3 linked regions of the Drosophila melanogaster genome follow. The protein of the gene in region 3 interacts with the protein of the main gene of each other region in a pairwise test. Each region holds a gene or a part of one and is shown on either strand. Other genes may lie near its edges.

Region 1 (2,809 bases), on a different chromosome or scaffold from region 3:
ATAGTCTAGCAATATAATTAGGGTTCAAGCAATTGTTCTCAGTGTATTCATTTGTCGCGTTAATCTGTATAGAATTTGTTCAACTTTGGGAAAAACAAGAGAGAATGCTATAGTCGAGTTCCCCGACTATCAGATACCCGTTACTCAGAAAAATCGATAGATATAAAAAAAAATTATAAAAATTTTAAAAAATTATTCCAAAGTGTGGGCGTGACCGGTTGGGCGGTTTTAGGGCGTTCGAGTGGGTGTGGCAAAATTTTTGTTTTTATCAATAGAAATTTACGAGACTAATAAAAATTTGAAATAATATCAACACGTTTTTCGAAAGTGTGGGCGTGGCAGTTTTGTGCGGTTTGTGGGCGTGGCAAATTAAATAAAAATTAAAAATACAAAAGTAATATAAAATAAGTCTCCTCCTTGGGTTCACATTTAAAGGAATTATTGCGAATAATTCAAATATTTGCGGATATAATTATTCAGAAAATTTCTCTCAGTGTACATTCGCAGTTTGATATCTTTCACGCAAGTATAGGTTTAGGTCCGATAGAATTTATCAATATGTTTACTTCAGCAGAAACTTCTCCCTCTGTATTCATGTCTTCTAACCCTAAAATTATTCTTGTCCACATGCTCACTTTTTTTAATTAATATATCTTTTAAGCATTTAAATTAAATACAAATCTTAGGGTTTTGGTTTATGTGCGGCTGCTGTCAATCGATGGGAAGGGGTGATCCCCGGGACGGCTCGAAAAGGGTGCTCCACAAGACGGCATGACTCGAGTTCATTTTTTTGCTGACCGCCTAATAGGTTAGAGCCTTTGCGTCAACTGGCACACAAAAAAAAAAACTTAAATCGCGTTCCGTTTGGCGGCTAGGAAAACTCACTCGAATAATGGTATTTTCGCACTTTGTTTTTGCTATCCAAAACGGACACTTTTTTGGCCGAATTGCATCCTCATCCTCGTATTAAGTACGTAATTAAGTACTAAAGCTAGCAAATCGAAATTCTTCTTTGTATCTTGGATTTAATATTAATATATTATTTTGGAACTCGGTTCAAAATACAGTTTTACGGTAACTGAAAATTTTGATTCTGTTAAGTGTATATATTTTATGGAAAGCAAGTTACACATAATTGGAGTGTTTCATAAAACAATAATAATACAGTAAAAGGGAATGTTAGAATCGCTAATGAGTATGTAACAGGTAGAAAGTGCCTTCTGTCCGTCTGTTTTTCAAATGAAAAAATATATATTTAATTTAAAGTTTTTTTGAAAAATTAGAGCAAGTAATGTAAGCCCACGTGCTATTTTCCAGTTCCCTCTGTTAAAAATATTTTTTACGGGGTTCTTTCCGGAACTATTATTTTGAAATTTTTTGATTGAGCACTTACCCAACATTCATATAGGTTTTAAAATTCATATTACACTTTTTTTTATTACACTTTTAAGGTCTGATATGATAAATAAAACACGATTCGCGATTCTCAATAAAAAAGCTAAAGCGAATCTACAGTTCTTAATGTTAAGACTTCCAATTTCTAGTGTGTACACACTTGACGACAGTGATTCCGCAGTGATCACATCTGGTCACTCTGTTCTCTATTCTTTTTTCTTTGAACTTTCGAATCGTCCAGTTGGCACGTGCTCTATCAATCATCCCATCTTGTTCTTCTGAATCTCTTTGAACGTAGTTTGGCAAATAGAAAGGCAAGGCAAACCGAAAATGGATGCTCCCACCATCAAGCTTGAGTCCTCGGATGGGATGATCTTTTCAACGGAAGTCCGAGCCGCCAAGCTCTCCGAAACCATCAAGACCATGTTGGAGGTCTCTGCCGTGGAGAACGACGAGAATGCCATTGTGCCGCTGCCCAAGGTGAACGCGTTCATCCTATCCAAGATTCTGACCTGGATCTATCACCACAAGGACGATGATGCCCATGGAGCGGAGGGCGTGGAGTTGAGCCCGCAAAGCCCACATGACATCTCAGCCTGGGACGCCAACTTTATTAACGTCGATCAACCCACCTTGTTCGAAATCATACTGGCCGCCAACTATCTGGAGATCAAGGGCCTAGTGGATCTCTGTTGCAAGACGGTGGCCAATATGATTAGGGGAAAGACTCCCGAGGAGATCCGCCACACGTTCAACATCCCGGACGAAATACCGAGCAGGACGGCCCAGTTGGGCGAAGACCTGTGAGGCACAGTCTCTTTCGGAGCAAATCCGGTTGGGACACCTGGAACCTTCCTTTGTTGAGAACTTATTTGTTTCACCAGAATAAATATGATATTACGAGTATTTTTGAAAGCATATCTATTGTATTTTATCAACATATTCAGTTTACAGTTTACTTTGGCAACAAGAACACATAAAACATAACTTTTTAAATCGTTTCATGTTCGCTTGGGCTAAAGGAGTGCTCTGGCTCTATTCCCAGTTGATTGCCACCAAGCCGCCCGGGGATACAAGCACACACCACACACCACACCACACACCGACCCACTCCACTCCATAGCACCCCAATCCCGGAATCCTGGTGCTCCTTAAGCCGGTTCCTGATTTGGCAGCCACGCTAATTTCCAAAAGCCTTGGCCGTTGGCGCTTATGAGCTCTGCATCCATGAAGTTCGCATTACGTATGTAAAATAGTGCAGAAAACCCCCAAATGAACCCAAGCCCAGGGTCCCAATCCTCGTATTCCAAACCCTTGGACACAACTTACGCACTTTACATACCGTTGCGGGGTGGGGAGGCGGGTGGTGGGTGGCAGGAGGCTGGGCAATGTCCTTTATTGTAAGTTAAGTTGC
Region 2 (4,395 bases), on a different chromosome or scaffold from region 3:
CGCCGCGTGTGGTTAGAGCCGACGACCATTCTGCACGACAGTCTGCAAGGATGAACAGCATTACAAGTATATTCAAAACGATGTGCACACTTTTTCACTCAAATACTAATACGATCTTAGATATACCAATTCCACCAAACCCAATCAACCCGGCAATTGTCAGCTGTTTTGGAATTTGAATCACTGACAGGTATAAGCTCTTTTATTACATCTGGCAACGCCGCTGTTGTCTGCGAACACGACAAAGAGCGAGATGGACATAAGCTTTCAGGACAAGACTAGGACAAAGGCAAACGTCCTGCACCCATACATACACACTCTCTCACAGGATTGGATGACTTGCAATAATCCTCAATCCGCAAACCATATGTTCCGGCATTTTGCCAATATATTCGCTCCGTTGAAAATGGCCCTAATTTAGTTTTTATTCCTACGGCTTCGCGTTTGAAAGAGAGAGAGAGAGACCGAGAAAGAGGGGGCTTGTAACTGATGTCGTCGACAGCCATCCCTCTCGCTCGCACTTATTCCAAGCCCTTTTAGCCCATGCACACACACGTTTAACAAAAATCAATTAACTTGAAAGCACATGTAAAAAAAAGTATTGATCCACAAAAAACAAAAGGCACTTCGGTAATCCTGGAATACACACACTTACTGCCGAAAATATTTAAAATGAATGGGTACGCGTATATATTTATATGCTGGTGAACAAAAGGCGAGCATAACAAAAATGTCTTATCGATTTGCATGCGCAGCAGACAGTAATTGCAAATCTTGTATTTTCTTGAGTCTGTGCAACAACTGAAATACCTTTCTGGGCATAAACTATCATAAACACAAGTGGGTGGTGCTGGGAAACATCGCTGGAATTGAATATTTGTTTGTTGGTCGATTTGTTCTGAATGGAAACGAATGTCGTTTGCAAATTGCTCTCTCAGCTGTTTACAAACGCATACCACATAACGCAGGTGAGAGAGAGAGGGAGGCATATGCGCAGTGAGAATGGAAGATGAAGGGTTGCCAAGTGCGCAAAGGCTTGCAAATTAAGTACACTTGTGTGCGGGGTAACCGAAAAACGGGTGTTTACAATAAATTTCGCTGGGTGGATGTAGCTTTGTAATTTGAGTTCGCCAATTTTTTTTGTTGTTAACAGCATTTCGAAGCGGTTGCCAACCCTAGACGCTGGCTGGTTGCATGGTAACGAAAAATGGCGGCGCCTGTTACACACACTCACACACACATGCACGCACAGTCTGCTGTGTTTATGCACTTCATGCTGTTCCGATTTTTTTTTTGCACTTTTTCGATTTGTTGTCTGCATTTACCTTAAATGAATTTATTAACTAAGGCGATATTGTGCCTCTCGCTCAATCTCGCAAAACGATGCTTTGTCTGCTGCTTCTCTGTGCGTGTGTCCGTCTCTTTCCACGGCTTTTCGTCGAGACTCACATATACAAACGGCGACACACTGGATTGGAGCTGGACTCCGTTTTGGATGGCTTGGCTTTGGCTGCGTACCCAAAATAAATCGCGCTTGCAGTCCCAAATCATTTTAGTTCTTGACGCCTTTGTTCCACAAAAACTTCCAACCGCCGTCCATGGCTCGTGCTTTCTCTTTCGCTCGCGAGACGCTCCAAAAGTCGCGAGTATGGGAAGAGAATGTATCCCTCGCTCTTTCACGCCTAGAAGCGGCTGTAGCACACACAAGCACACGTAAACCCAGCCGTATGCATATACATATATTCCCTCTACTAGCGAGACGTGTGTACGTGCGTATGTATGTATGCTTTTTTCACTTCTTTCTCCTCTGCGTTCTTTGCACCAAGTGTCGCTGTTGCTATTTGCTACCGCCGCTCCTCTTGACGAATAAGTCGGGACTTGTATCAGCTCTAATTCGGACTTAGTTTACAAAATGCGGCTGCTTTTTTTCCGCGATACTCGGATTAGTGATGTAAAAAGACGTTGATGCTTCGACCACTGAAGTCAGTGCGATATGTATCGATAATTGAATGCCATCGATTGCTACGATTAAAACTGCCACCGCAGTTAGCGGAGACGCTCACCATTCTCTATTCGCCATTTGAAAGTATCGGTGTAATTTGTTTTCAGAGAAATTAATTTCCGTTTACTGTGCAATTCGGTGTGAAAGTGTTCAGATTTATCAATGCGTATTCTGCTTTCGACTTCGCCACCAATCTGTGCTGCAAGTTACCATTACCAGGTCCACCTGGTTCCCGCCAGTTTTCTTTCATTGTGGCTAGTTGTTGTTCGTGCCTTCGATAAAGACGTTTAGAGGTGTTTTTAGAGTTTCGCCATCTGGTCACTATAGCCGTTTCGTTTTTTACGTGAGTATTGTGAATTTGGTGTGTTGATTTATATCTCAGTTGGAGCCTGCGTGGAAATAGTGTCAGTACGTTTAAAGGCATCATCGTAAGGTTAGTCGGAAAACAAATAAAAAGCCTACAAATAGCAAGCAAGAACGCTTTCGCAACCACAAGAAAAACGAACATACGCACGCATCCATCTGTGGTAGAGTCGGCTTGTGTGGGGGTGAGTGGATGTGTGGGTGAGCATTTCTGGAAAGTGCCGTTCTCTATGTTTCGATTCTACTTATCCCTTCATCACCATTTCATCGTTGAATCATCACGAAAGAAACATCGAAAGTGCACAATCGTTTGTTATCTTTGTACGAAAACAACGGTGATTTCCACACAGGCATAACCTGCAAGAGTAATACGATACAAATTTTGATCTGATATGACCTCATTTTAGTCGGTTTGAATTTTAAAGAGAGCGACTCTGCAAACTGCAGGGATATGAACATACAAAATTCACAAATGATTGTTTGCATCCTAGTTGCTTATATTCATTTACACGCATGCTTATATGCTTACATCTGTTATCAATAATTGACGACTTGGTGCATGCGAAGCAAACGCATTGAAATGACTATTGGGATCCACACACTGTTAAAAAACACACTGATTGCACTGCCACACATTTCTCAACTAGAACCTAATGTTTTATACTGAACTTAACTGCAGGAAAGCCCAAAATGCCCAGCATCAAGTTGCAATCTTCGGATGAGGAGATCTTTGACACGGATATCCAGATCGCCAAGTGCTCCGGCACTATCAAGACCATGCTGGAGGACTGCGGCATGGAGGACGATGAGAATGCCATTGTGCCGTTGCCCAATGTGAATTCGACGATTCTTCGCAAGGTGCTTACCTGGGCTCACTACCACAAGGACGACCCCCAGCCAACGGAGGATGATGAGAGCAAGGAGAAGCGCACAGACGACATTATCTCATGGGATGCAGATTTCCTAAAAGTCGACCAGGGCACACTGTTTGAGCTGATATTGGCAGCGAACTATCTGGACATTAAGGGCCTTCTGGAGCTCACCTGCAAGACTGTTGCAAACATGATTAAGGGAAAGACTCCCGAGGAAATACGCAAGACCTTCAACATTAAGAAGGACTTTTCGCCCGCCGAGGAGGAGCAGGTGCGCAAGGAGAACGAGTGGTGCGAGGAGAAGTAAAGCGCGGCATTTCGCGGGACCAACATTAAGTTGAAACAGCTAGGGGATTCGGGAACGAATTGGATTTGCAGCATTGCAACTTTACTTAGTTGCTACTTTCATTTACATTTTTTTTTATTTTTAACCCCAGCAGAGACTCGATTTAAATTGTGTATAAATGATCTGTTGCTGATTTGATTCGCGGGGTTCATTTTTTGTCGTAAATATATCTCATATACATACATATGCGAGATTGTAACACTCTCTTTAACCTATTGGAGTAACACTTGATTTCACTTTAATAAATATAACTACCCAACACAAAGACACAGCCTATTTTGTGGGCTTCCCGGAGGGGTTAGGGTCCAAGGACTTCTCAAATTAAGAAGTGCTCTTTATTCGTTATCTTGTGTTTAGAAACGTTTGCAAGCGTTTGAAATGGATACGCATGCCATTTATGGTCCAGTCGGTAAAATTTTACGTGTTCCCAAGAAGGTACATATATATCTTAGATTATCTTATCTATAGAAACTACATTCATAAGATCACGCTTTCGGCGAATAGCGAGTAATACTGTAGCTGCCACTTTGCCACTTAGTGTGCAATTGAAATGCGCGCCAACGCATGTTCTCATATGCGGAGCGTTTAGCAGCCCTTAAAAAGCTTTTCATGTTGCTTTTAAAAAGCTACGACGGGTGTGGAAATTAGATTTGTGACGCTTTATATATCTTTTTTTTATATCGTCTGGGGTACAGCATGGTTTTAGGATTTTAGAAGAAAGCAGTAATTTTGTAAGAATCGAAGAACGGGGGGATATTTATAATTTTCATATTAACCTTGTCTTTGTTTGCTTTTGAAATTATGAATACTTC
Region 3 (4,000 bases):
TTTAATGTTAGTTGAACTACTAAAAGTAATGATTGAAAGCACGGATCGAAGGAATGGAGATAGGAGTTCCCGCGTGGGAGTGCGAGTAGTTTTTAGTTGGGCGCGTCGCCCAATCATTATGATTACAATTACAATTACGATTATGATATATGGAATACTAAACCTATAACAACAAGTTATTACCCCACTATTAAAGTTAACAAGCAACAACAACAACAACCCATACATATACATATATACGACTAGGCACAACTCTAAAATTAATTATAACCCTTAACTGTGCTTGTGTTGAAAACAACAAACATTAAGAACAAGTTTAAGCCGTAACGAAATAAAAGAAAGTGAAACAATTAACGAGAAATCCCCAAGCGCCACAAGCAACAACATATCTGCTTTAAATTTTACAAAAAAGGAAGAGAAATCTAAAAAAAAGTATATTAAACACGAGTCAAAGTTTAATAATTTAGTAAGAAAACAATACACAGACAAACTGACAGACACACGACCCACACATTATGCTTCCTTTTAAATGCAACATTTTATACATTTAATTATCGAGAATTAAATGCTTAAAATACAATTTTAATTTAATTTAACAAACTGTAACTGTACACGAATAAACGGAAAATGTAAAACTGTTTGTTTAACCATTTAAAGACAGAACTTGGTTTTATTTAACCTAATTTTATTGATTCACGATCATCGCAGCAAAGTGCACATTTTGAATACACTTAGAATGCAGGGAACAATTGAAAATTGAAAATGAAATTATCATTGATATGCATGTATTTTGCTTTCACACTGAAAATAATTGTTTTCGAAGTCGCAAACACACACTATCACACGTCTATAATTATGTAGTTGAGTATCCGTGTTAGTTTTTGGGTGTTTTTGGATTTTTGGTGATGTGTATAGAGCGCAGTATATAGAATGCATATAGAGATATATATTATTGTACGATTATTGACTAATATATAACGGATATGTATGTGTAGTACGTGAAAGGCAAGTTTATGGAGACAATTCACTTGTGTTGCAATATTAATGAACAAACGAAATAATTTACTTGTAAGTTGCGTAGTGCAAGCCGTGAGAATAGAGGTAACTTTCTCCACAACCCACACTCACTGATCGACAGACACATACCCATTAACCTTAATGATTAAACGCTGGGACAGCGGCAAAAATGTTTCCTAGGAGAAAAATTAACAGAAGCTGAAGAAAACGCTTGGAATGCCCCAATTAACGTAAACATTAAAAGCAACAAACAGTAACAATACTAAATAGAAACAATAATGTACTATAAATCAGATACAATACAACACTATATATACCTAAAATATATATGCCTATACGACAGAAATTGGACAACAAATGAAATATATATATATATAGTATATATTGTACAAGTTACGAGTAAAATGTAATTAAAATTTATGAAGTAGTAAGCACTAAACAAAACAAATAAATGAGCAGCAAAAACGCGCAGCATAAGCATAAAACCGGATTTTACAAGAAACTGAGTAACCCTGAGTAGAATTATATTTTTTGGTTAAGGATATTATTATGATTTCGTATCTCTGGGATACCCCGAAAACTATCGCTTCGTTTTCCCATCTCCAAAAGGATAAGTCGTTTAGGTAGCGCGAATTCCGCCCGATCTGCCTGGAAACCCACCCCTAAATGACCTTCGCACTAGGTAGCATCGGACTACTGACCGTGGCAACTGCGTGAATTCATTAGTATTCCAAGTACCACGATCGAGAACAGACCGCAGATGACGTCCGCAAGCGATACAGGTAAGGAATTGGCTAAAAACGAAAAAAAAAAAAACAATACAACTGAGCCTATTAAGACGATCGTCCTTCAACTTTTTAGAACCCACTGCAGTAACGCTGCTCCAGCTGAATGACGATGTCCTGGCTTTGATCATCCGCCAGCTGGACACGTACCAGCAGTTCCAGATTAGCAGGTTGAACAGGCGCTTGGCGGGCGTAGTGCACATGCTCTGGGAGACCCGTGTTCGCAACGTTGTCCTGCAGGACGAGATGTTCGGACGCTCGGGAGCCAATTCCCGACAGTTTGTGGCTTTCATCTTGGCCCTGGCTCCGCACATGCAGCACCTGAGTTGCAAGCAGTTGGATGTCCGAAGACTGCGACTGCTCAGTAACCACACGCTGGAGAGGATTCACTCTTTCGAGTGGCTGGGCAATGTGTATAGACGGAGACGCGTTCGCTTCGTGGATGAGGATGTGCGAATGCTGCAGAGGGTATTTCCCAATCTAAAAAGCCTCAAACTTAGAGGCTGCCAAATTACCGGAAAATACCTATGCGACCTGGATGAGCTTACCGATCTCCGCCTGCATGATTGCCATTTTCTGGAATCGCAACACTTTAGGGACATCTTCCGGCAGCTGCGACTACGCAAATTTGACATAATGGAGGACTGTGACGAGGTGAACTGCTGTGATCTGGCGGATCTGCAGCTGTGTCCCACACTGGAGCATATCAAGATTGCGGATTACCACGTGTGTATGGAGTCGGATATTACGCAGCAACTACTGACATTGCCAAACCTGCGAAAGCTGTCGATCTATTCCAGGAACTTTGTCTTTGATGTCCTATCGAGGATAGTTAGTCCCACAAGTCCTCCCGGCGATGGCCGACAAATTGAGGCCTTTAGTTTCAGTGGAGTTTTGCACGACTATGGCCGGTTCTTCAGGGAGCTGGGAAATCTTAGTCACTTGACGCGACTGGAGCTGCACAGCCAGCCAGAGGAAGAGGAGGAGAAGGAGGAGGGCGTCCAGGTGCAGTGCCTGGGGGATCAGATACTGCGGCAGCTAGCCAGTCAACTGGGTGAGCTAACCGAACTCCATTTGTGTGGCTATCAGTTGGAGAGTCCTTTGGGCCTGCTGGAATTCGTGATCAATTGTCGACAGCTGAGAGTCCTCGACATCACTCGAACCTTCTGCCATGGAGAATCCTTCGTCTGGAGGTGTATTGCCATTTTGGCCAAGCAAAGCTGGCGCATTCGCCCTCTAGAGCTGTGGATCCGGCATAGCGATATCAATCCGGAAATAGTTCAAAGTTCGCGCTGCGTTGATAACATAAGGCTGATAAAGGTGGATGCAAAACAGATTGGACCCAATACGGACTACACATCTGGCGTACTCAAGTTTAGCTTTGTGCGGTAAACCGCTGCCCCATGAGTGGGATATGCTCCAACTGATCAAGCTCCAAAATGAAAAGGTTTTAAACTGAAATATAGTTAAGTGTATACATTTATCAACTGCTTACCAAATAAAAAGATGTAAATATACATATTTGTAAAGCGATTTTTCAATGCATCATTGTTTTTACTGCCCTTAGGGATAAAAAAAATTAAATTCAAGTTGTAGTACACTTTAAAATTCAAACACCCAAGTCCTTGCAATCAGCGTCAATCCAAATGAAATTCGAGTTCAGAGCTAAAACCTCGTCGACAAGCCAAACTTTGGATCGATGCCCACGAGGATGACCAAATGCGCCAGCCCTTCCGCCGAGCCTCCGTCTACCTCCACCTGCTGTTAATAACCGAGGCCGTGATCGGACTGCTGATCCTGGTGGTGACCGCCTACTACCACACCGTGCTCACCGGCTATCTATCGGATATTGAGTGCCGCCTGGTCTACGGCTATCTGTTTGGGATCTACGTGTTTGGCGCCCAGGTGGTGGTGACCTTTCTCTGCAGCATTGCCATGTGGCGGCGAATTTGGCGGCGTCGCTGCACGCCGAACATTCGCCTCTTGCTATCCGTGTGGGCCTTCTACTCCTGCGTAATCATTGCCTCCGGTTTCGGGTGCGTTTGGAATCTTTACCGGGGTGTCGATGTCCTCGAGAATGCGGCGGACACCTCGCTGACCCGCGGCATCGACATGTACTACTCGTGTCCCGAGTGGAAACTCCTGTGGGACGGACTGCAGTGGCACAAGGAGTGCTGCGGGGTGCATGGCTACAAGGA

The links.
Region 1: the proteins of CG14937 (region 3) and SkpC interact in a two-hybrid assay, tested with the Drosophila melanogaster proteins (2 studies listed by BioGRID).
Region 2: the proteins of CG14937 (region 3) and SkpA interact in a two-hybrid assay, tested with the Drosophila melanogaster proteins (2 studies listed by BioGRID).

What each region holds. Positions count from the first base shown.
Region 1 is NC_004354.4:19,814,413-19,817,221, forward strand, and holds SkpC (SKP1-related C), read left to right. Parts: upstream 1-1,659; 5' UTR 1,660-1,725; coding exon 1,726-2,202; 3' UTR 2,203-2,288; downstream 2,289-2,809.
Region 2 is NC_004354.4:654,055-658,449, forward strand, and holds SkpA (SKP1-related A), read left to right. Parts: upstream 1-2,059; 5' UTR 2,060-2,730; exon of another isoform or gene 2,731-3,044; 5' UTR 3,045-3,055; coding exon 3,056-3,544; 3' UTR 3,545-3,845; downstream 3,846-4,395. Other genes in the region: Hmt4-20 (histone methyltransferase 4-20), read right to left, coding at 1-29.
Region 3 is NT_033779.5:11,791,825-11,795,824, reverse strand, and holds CG14937 (uncharacterized protein), read left to right. Parts: upstream 1-1,738; 5' UTR 1,739-1,777; coding exon 1,778-1,799; intron 1,800-1,878; coding exon 1,879-3,194; 3' UTR 3,195-3,413; downstream 3,414-4,000. Other genes in the region: Tsp33B (tetraspanin 33B), read left to right, coding at 3,522-4,000.